Linked DNA regions of Bombyx mori. The protein of the gene in region 1 interacts with the protein of each later gene in a pairwise test. Links are inferred from orthologs where the notes say so. Each region holds a gene or a part of one and is shown on either strand. Other genes may lie near its edges.

Region 1 (4,302 bases):
TAAGGTTAATTTATTTCCATTTGAATTTGTATGTACCTTGTACCTTTAAGAGAGCAATAAATAAATTATTATTATTATTATTATATATTAATATTAAGTATTAGATTACACAAAATGTTAAAATAATAATTGTTTTAACAAATCATATTTGTTTTTACAGACTGAATGATCAAACTATGGTAGTCTAATTTTGATCCCTTTTTGTTTTTATCAGCTAAATATATACCTTAAAATATAATAAAAAATTAAGCCTTCTATTTTTACCTCCGGTTATGTTCTGTATCCCTTTTCATGCTGAGTTGGAAAGCTATTGGTTCTCCTTCTTCCACTTCCACTTCCTGTGGTAATACTATTGCTGTTTGTTTCCAGTGTGTTGCCAAACTATTTGGACTGGTGTCCAAAATTATACGATTCTCGTCTTTCGTTTCAGACATACTGGGAAAATTGCATTCGAACCATAGACACAAGCCTTCATAAGAACCAGATTTTTTAGCTCCTGAAATAGGGACTTTGACTCAATTACTGAATAACAAAATATAAAAAAATTGAAACTTTTACATTTAACTTAGATGTGTTTTAATGGAAATACATAAGCATTATAAAAAGATTAAATACCAACAACATGCTGGATGCTGAATTCATTCAAATCAGATGCACTGTCTTCCCTCAAATTAATCCAGCAAAGTGCTACTTCATCACCAAGCAAATCCTTTTGCTCTATATTCAAAATTTCTGGTTTAGTGGATTTGTTTTTGCGAAGATGTTTAGCAAAAGCAGACATTGATACTCCATGCACATTGTTCCATTTGTTGTATAGTGAAGGTATGCTGCAAGTAGAAACAGAAGGTATAGAGATACTAACAAATTGTTAATGTTATTTCAACAAGTGTTTCATCTTGACTTCTATGACAAAAGAATAACACTGTGGAAATAGTTGAACCCACAAAATTTATAAACTTGAAAATTACTGGTGGAGGAAAATTTTTTTTTAACCCTTACATATTGGTGTCATTGTGTTGACTCCTGTTGTAAAGCAGTTGTACATTCCAGTGTGAAAGGTAAGATAACCATTGTATATTATTATTGAAAGTTTAATGTCATGTCTCAAGGGGGTAAAGTCTATGGGCCCAGGTGGGCCTTAACTCATTAACCTGTTTATTTTATAAAAATTATAATGAAAAGAAAGTCATATTAGGATTTATACAATTTGCCTTACCTACATGGTGCAACATAAATAACAGCCGTTTCAGGAAACATTTCTCCCCCTTCCTTAAGAAACTTATCTCGAGCAATTAGCACAGAATCTAACATACCTTCATGCAATAGATAAAAACCCATCCATTCAGATACTATCACATCTACTTTTATGTTATTTGGTAATATTACATCTTCAACTTTACTGTGAATTATCTAGAAAAAAAAAAGTTTTTAATTATTTATATCAGTCTGTAGTAAGTGGTTCTTGTACAATTGAAACTTCTAAAAATTGCCAGAACAAAGACATATGAAGTAAAAGAAGAAACCAACCAACTGATGATACCAAAAGAAGAAACCGAAAGTCCTATGTAATATTGAAACGCTAATGGAGATTTAACCCAAGATTTGGTATTCAACTATTTTTTTATTTCTTTTTTTATGGAGTTTTAACAAATAAATGGTTACATAGATGTCTACAATACACAAGAAGACATTACAATTGGAAATTTTGGGTTTCATAATTTGTGCTTCAATTATGAATTGAATTGAATATGAATTTTTGGTAATTTTTTAGACATCTTTGTTACTTTTTTGTTGTACACACAGGTGAATGAGACTGCAGGCTCCAAAGACCCTTTTCCTTGAGTGATTTTAAAAATTTATTCCATCAGATTAAAAATTATGAGCTTGTGTTAAATTTATATTTCTTTGGTAAGACTGTATCTGTCTGCGGCATTTGAACACTGATATATTATTAAAGTTGTATACAAGTAAACCTGGGTTCTTTTTTAAGCTACAACATTATATCTCATTAATGATTTCTATTGACTCGATTCAGTAGTTATGCATACACATAATACAGTATTTTAATGGTCATTGTTCGCAATCTTGCCATTGAGATCCTTAAAGACTGACCTTTATGCCCCCACAACAAAGTCTGTACAGTGTATTCAAACAAAATTAATTCTGTTACTGTATGTCATTTCCACAGGACGATCAAAATGTTAAAAAATTGCTTCAAATAAAATGTGTACTACTGTTTGGTCTACAATAATAAAAATTTAATTTGGACAATACTAACTTCAATAACATTTTCGAAACCATTCTCTTTCACAATTTCTCTAGCTAAATTCGCTAAATTACTTGCTTCCACGGCATATACTTTTTTAGCATCTGCTTGGGCGCAGAAAACAGATAAAATTCCTGTGCCACATCCAACATCCATTACTATTTTATCCTTGAAATAACATTTATTCCCTAATATCGCTTTCTTATAAGCTAGGTTTCTTGGTTCGTCTTCTAACATCAATGTATGCACCTGTTGAATTAGATAATATAAAAAAATATTCAGTAAAGTTAGTCTTTTTAGTTTTTTTTTTATAGATTAACCTCTAAATCTTCATAGCTGTTAAAGTAATTGTTCTGCACTTCTTCAGTTTCCATTTTACTTCTTCGCTTAACTTACGAACTAGTCAAAATATTTCGTTTTTTATCAATGAAAAATAGATAGGTAATCGAAAAACAAATAAAACAAAAATATTGATGTACGGAAATCAATCCACAAACTAGTTAGACGTAGTGTTAAATACTCTTTGAAACTAGTCTTTGCCATAGATTTTTTTGGTACAATTTTTCCTTATTAGAAAAGGCAAGAGGATCTAAGCCCATACAGCCTTTTACCATAAATAAGACAATAAGACGTGTCATTAAGTGTACTATGATTCAAAGCTTTGCTAGCTTTGCTTTGTTAAGCAGCTAACTTCAATTTTCAAAAAACCTATCAAAAAAGGTCTAGGTTTAGCAGTGGTTTTATTTTTTATTCAAGTTTCATAACGGCTTATTGACGGTTTAAAATCTGTAAAAATGAAGCAAATTTACTGAATGAAGACTAGAGTTTTTCTAAAAAATCTAACAACTCTCCATGAATTTCCACTACTTAGAAGCTCCTAAATTTCATCTCGTTCAAAATCTATGGCACTATCTTATTTCACCACATTCACTTTAATTTAATTTATTCCGTTATAAATTTTATTTTATTCAGTTCCATTACACTTTTAATACAACAAACATTTAGGTTTTGTTTCAACATTTTATAGGGTTCCATTTGCTCGTTAAATAGATGAAACGAATAAAAGTGATCTCTACAAATAAAGTGAGTCTATGAGTAGGCTGTATGAGCTTAGATCCCCTTACCTTTCTTATAGAGGAAAAATTGTACAAAAAAAAATGTCTATGAGTTGGTCATAGACAGATTTAAACGCTAATATTGCTACTTTTTAGCAAAATGACAAATAAAATTTAATATTAAGATAGGTTATGATAAATCGAGAATATAAATTAAATGTTTCTCAATATAAGAAGATGGCTAAAGAAAGTGATATGTCATTATACAGCGATGTGCTTGAACCATTTCGTAGGGTCATAAACACTGAACCACCAAAAGACAAGTTATCGGCGTCTACAAATCTAAACTTTTCTGATAGTACTCAATCTATAAAAGAAGGTATAGTGAGAAATAATTTACTAACTATAAATGTTAGCACATTTGAGAGACATCTGGTACAATGTAAATTTAAGTTCAAGAAATACATTTAACCTAAAATTGAAAACAAGACGAGTGATCGTTGTTTTCATGTCTATTGTTCGCTGTTTTTCAATTTGTTGATTTTTTTAAATTTCTGTTTTCCAAGCGTAATCATTCGCGTTAGTTTGAAAAGATTGATTGAAAGGGATAGTTGAAAGGCAATGTATGTCCATCAGTCAGTCAGTCATTCAGTCTTAATAAAAATAATATCTCATAAATATTTCTGCCTCTGTTATTAACAACAGAATCACCATTAGTTAAGTTTGTCACCTTTTCAATAAACTGCAGACGTTCAGAAGTAAAATGTCAAAACTTAATAAGTTTATAAACATTAAATAGGCCTCTCCAATCTACTGACATTTGGTAAAAGAAAGTCGAGTATCGGTAGCGTAGATGATGTGACACCAGATAAGAGGCTTAGAAGAGACTCAAGTGGTAATGGAACCACAGCACCACCATCACCATGGGAAACAAAACGTTTGAAGATTGATCTGATTGCTGCAAAAGCACAGGTACAGTGT
Region 2 (4,232 bases), on another chromosome or scaffold:
TATACTGAGACCTAAGAACGTATATCAGGTGAGTGGCGCATGGCGCATATACGTTGTAGATGTCTATGGGCTCAATTTTTTTTTTTTTTTTTTTTCCGTGCCGATTGCCGAACCTCCTACGAGGTCCCCGCGCCTAGGGGGCGCGCGGGGTATGTGAGACTCAACGATCTGCAGGTGTTGAGAGCAGACCGCGGGCCCAAGGAATATAGGGCCCACCCACTAAACGACTCCCCTGCACTCTTACACCCGGCGTCCAACTTAACGCCAGGTGGGCTGTGAGCTCGTCCACCCACATAAGCAATAAAAAAAACTGGCCCTATCAAGAGCAGTGCTTGAATTTACTGTATGGGTCTTCACTGGCCCTTATCTATAAGAACCTGGTACAAGTATTCACTAGTGGGAGCTGAGACTTAAGAGATTAGAGCTGTGAATTTTGTGCCACAAATGGGAAAATGCTTGGAGATTCAATTGTGATTTACAAATGATAGGGGATAACAAAGGACGCAATTCCGAAAGCGAATCCACTGTAACCATTGCCGAAATGATGTTGAGGACTGATATCGATAATGTACTGCAGTTAAAGGTTCCGACACATGTGTCAAAGGTGTACTAAAATTGTACAATGTTGGAACTAATTGCTCATAGCGACATATTTGCTATGTGTATGTGGATTACTATAATTCTCATGTTGTATTTGTTATTTTAGTTATGTGTTATTTGTTCTACACACACTCATCACTTTTTATTATTATTCTCATTATCCTCTCGCAGGTATGCTGGAAGAGATTTCTTAAAGAAATAAGCAGTGCCTTTGTACATAATTTTCCTATTACTCTGTACTATGTTTTCTTTTCTGTGTGTACATAAATAAATAAATAAAAATAGACAGAAAGTGATAGTGGAAATAAATACTTCATGGTGAGAGGTCTTTGTCATTCATAATGAAAAAGCCAGCTGATAAGTTAGTACACAAAGGTTTTTGCATGTTTGCAGTACCCTTAGAAATACAGTGACCAAGTGCAGAATATTGAAATAAAGTTAATGAAATTGCTTATCAGATTCAGGAATTCAGAGTAAAGTTGTACATGTATGATCAAGTGGCAAAACATTATGGATATAACTATACTCATAGCAAGCTTGTCTAAGGAGGAACAGTGCTATGCTGGTATGAGAAATGCAGGTCACCAAATAGCAGAAATGCTTATCAAAAGCTGTAATAGTCTCAGGAATATTCGAGAAGTGTAACTCCATCTATTCTCATATAGCGAACATAGGTATTGAAATAATAAGTACTATCAATAGCGTTCTCGTAAATTGTTGACATTTCATGTTCACTATAATGGTGTTGCACAGACAACATGAAGTAGTTATTATTGTTAGTAATCAGTTCTACTAGAAGCAAAACAGTGAGCGGATCACCTGAAGCACAGCAGAAAAAATGAATTAGGAATTGTGAAGTACATTTAAGAGTTCTAATAATTAAATTAAGTTTTAATTTATACTTCAGTTTAAAGTTAAAGTTAAGTACTTAGTTTTTATTTATCCCGAGTCCATTGCAAGAATATACCAAGATTCATGTTCCAGTATCAGTATATTATTTTCATTTGTAAACTTATAAATCGATGCCTCCAATGAACACTACTCTAACTCCAAATTCGTAGGTTTACAGGAGGAGAGTTTAAATGAAAAAAGTTGATAAATATATCTGCAATAATAAAGATTTTATGGTTTTTTCTTGTGTAACTAGTTGATTTACTCTTGCTTCAAACCCCATTAATAATGAATTTGTAATACTTTTAAAATAGTGAAGCGATTTGCGTGAAAAACGAAAATTTCAAATTTTGAATTAAGTAGTGTTCATTGGAGGCATCGAAATGATCCAAAACGCAATATATATAAAATGGTGATGGTAAAATGCATTTACCACAAACATGACAAATAATTTTAATTTTATTGAATGAAGGCTATGTTAGATATAAAACAATTTTACCTAAAGGCAGTTTTTACTTTGATAAAAACATATTTCAGTTATCAGTACGCCCCGGCTTGGCTCTGCCCCTGGCATTGCTGAAGTTCATGGGCGACAGTACACCATCAGATGGGCCGTGCGCTCGTCTGCCTAAAAGGGCAATAAAAAAAAATGTTCTAAGGGACGAAAATTGACTTACTTTTATGTTTAGGCTGGCATATTGTGACCCAGACTTGATCTCTCCAATGGTGACTTTGACGTCATCGCTGTCGTCCGAGTCAGAGTCACCGTTCTCTTGGCTATCAGCGTCACCATTTTGATCCTCGCGCGTTACCTCAGCAAAATGCTCATCATTTAATTCCGAATCGTTATTACCTTCCTCTTCATCTTGATTTTCTTCGTCAGCCTTTAAATAAAGTGAACCGTGTTTAAATGTAAAAAAACTTATGGAACTTTACAAGCAATAAGTAGTTAGGTTATTAACTTACACCACCGACGACGTCGGCCGATTTTTGTACTTCTTGAGTTTCCTCAGTGGATTCTTGGTTAGCATCTCCGCCAGAATCCCCGTATAACCAATTATCATCGTTTTCATCGCCCGGTGTGGTCTCAATGGCCGTTTCTGCCATTTTAACAAGTTATAAACTTGAAAATAACGAAATTTGGAACGACCAATGGTTTTATATTATGTACTTATTAGTAGGTAACAAACATAATTTAAGTGGTAATTTCAGTAAAATAAAATGCAAATTGTAGGTATATGGTACTCTTTTTTTTGTTTGTAACAACAACACGCTATTAGACAGCTATAGGTACCTACGTGTGTATTATCTGTTAAACAGCAACCATAGATCAAATATAAGTGTATAATCTATGACCATAGATTATGTTAATACTAAAGCGCCTTATTCACGATCCATCTTGCTGTACGTCCCGCCAAGGCCATGCACGATGCACGATGCAAAAGGATCATGAATAGGCTTGACGTACGTCGATAATTATTATTAATTGTTTGCTGGATTTGCACGACCGATTTTGCGTCCAGCGAGTGCCCCCACCACCGCGAGCGTCGTGCAGATAGACAGTGAATAACGCTGACGTACGTCAGAGCGGTCCTGCGTCGTGCGTGCTTGATCGTGTATAGACTTGCTGTACAGCAGATTTAACATTTGTAGCTTGTTTCGAGAGGAGACTGCACGTCAAAATGGATCGTGAAACACTTTCAAGATTTGAGTCGTCTATTATCAAAGGTGGCAATCTGTGCATTTGGACAAAAAAAATTTATTGATATGTCAATACAGATTCATTTGAATATAATCGTCTCCTTCAAAGAATACGGTTCAAAACCTGCATTAAATAAAGGTTAATAGTTAACCTGTTATTTATCTAAGATGTCGTTCCGAAGAGTTTTGTGACTGCCAATGGAATACAAAGTCAATAATTCGTTTTTCTGATTTACCAATCATTGTCCAAAAGTAAGATTGCCGGCTTTGATAATAGTCGACTCATTTATTGAAAGATATAAGTTCCACATGTTTGTGAAATGTCTCAAGCGCAGACTATAATAATATGAATAAACAAAAAATAATAAACTTATTACAATTTTTTAGGCCCATTTTAGGGGAAGCTGCAAGGATTGATAGCGTGCGTAAAAAATGATATTAATTATTTGAATATACTCTGCACGTTTAAAAAAATCATCCAAAACCTCTTGCTATTATTTGCCTCTCTTCTGCTGCTGCTGACAACATCAGAAGGACTCCCATTTTTGGCGTTTTGATAAAACAGCTGGCATTTTAAATAAATTAAAACCCTCTCATTTAATTCGTTCGATTTATTCTGTTCGCGCTTGATACATCCAGCACCGCGGCCTTGAGCTGACGTACAGCCGTGATGGATCGTGAATAAAGCGCTAAATGCATCGTGCATCGTGCATGGCCTTGGCGGGACGTACAGCAAGATGGATCGTGAATAAGGCGCTTAATAAAGTATTAAATTTATTATAATATTATTGAAGGTAGTTTTCCAATTGCAGCACTAGAGCGCATTATGCGGCATAATGCACAACGTTGAATGTTCTAAGTTCCAACTACAGCAGCGCACTCTGCTGATGCATTAAAGTCGTCGTGGCCTAAAGGATAAGACGTCCGGTGCATTCGTATCGAGCGATGCACTGGTGTTCGAATCTCGCTGGCGGGTACTAATTTTTCTAATGAAATACGTACTCAACAAATGTTCACGATTGACTTCCACGGTGAAGGAA

The links. The genes of interacting proteins can lie anywhere in the genome.
Region 2: the proteins of uncharacterized protein LOC101745013 (region 1) and pre-mRNA 3'-end-processing factor FIP1 interact in a two-hybrid assay, tested with the Homo sapiens proteins (2 studies listed by BioGRID and IntAct). The link is inferred for Bombyx mori from reciprocal best matches to the Homo sapiens genes PRMT2 and FIP1L1.

The regions. Positions count from the first base shown.
Region 1 is NC_085125.1:5,641,259-5,645,560, forward strand, and holds the start of uncharacterized protein LOC101745013, read right to left. Parts: upstream 2,810-4,302; 5' UTR 2,641-2,809; coding exon 2,587-2,640; intron 2,516-2,586; coding exon 2,279-2,515; intron 1,411-2,278; coding exon 1,217-1,410; intron 828-1,216; coding exon 616-827; intron 497-615; coding exon 265-496; intron 1-264. Other genes in the region: mitotic spindle assembly checkpoint protein MAD1, read left to right, coding at 3,514-3,700, 4,121-4,293. UniProt on the Homo sapiens protein: Arginine methyltransferase that methylates the guanidino nitrogens of arginyl residues in proteins such as STAT3, FBL, histone H4. Acts as a coactivator (with NCOA2) of the androgen receptor (AR)-mediated transactivation.
Region 2 is NC_085121.1:13,342,857-13,347,088, forward strand, and holds the start of pre-mRNA 3'-end-processing factor FIP1, read right to left. Parts: upstream 2,818-4,232; 5' UTR 2,599-2,817; coding exon 2,458-2,598; intron 2,376-2,457; coding exon 2,169-2,375; intron 1-2,168.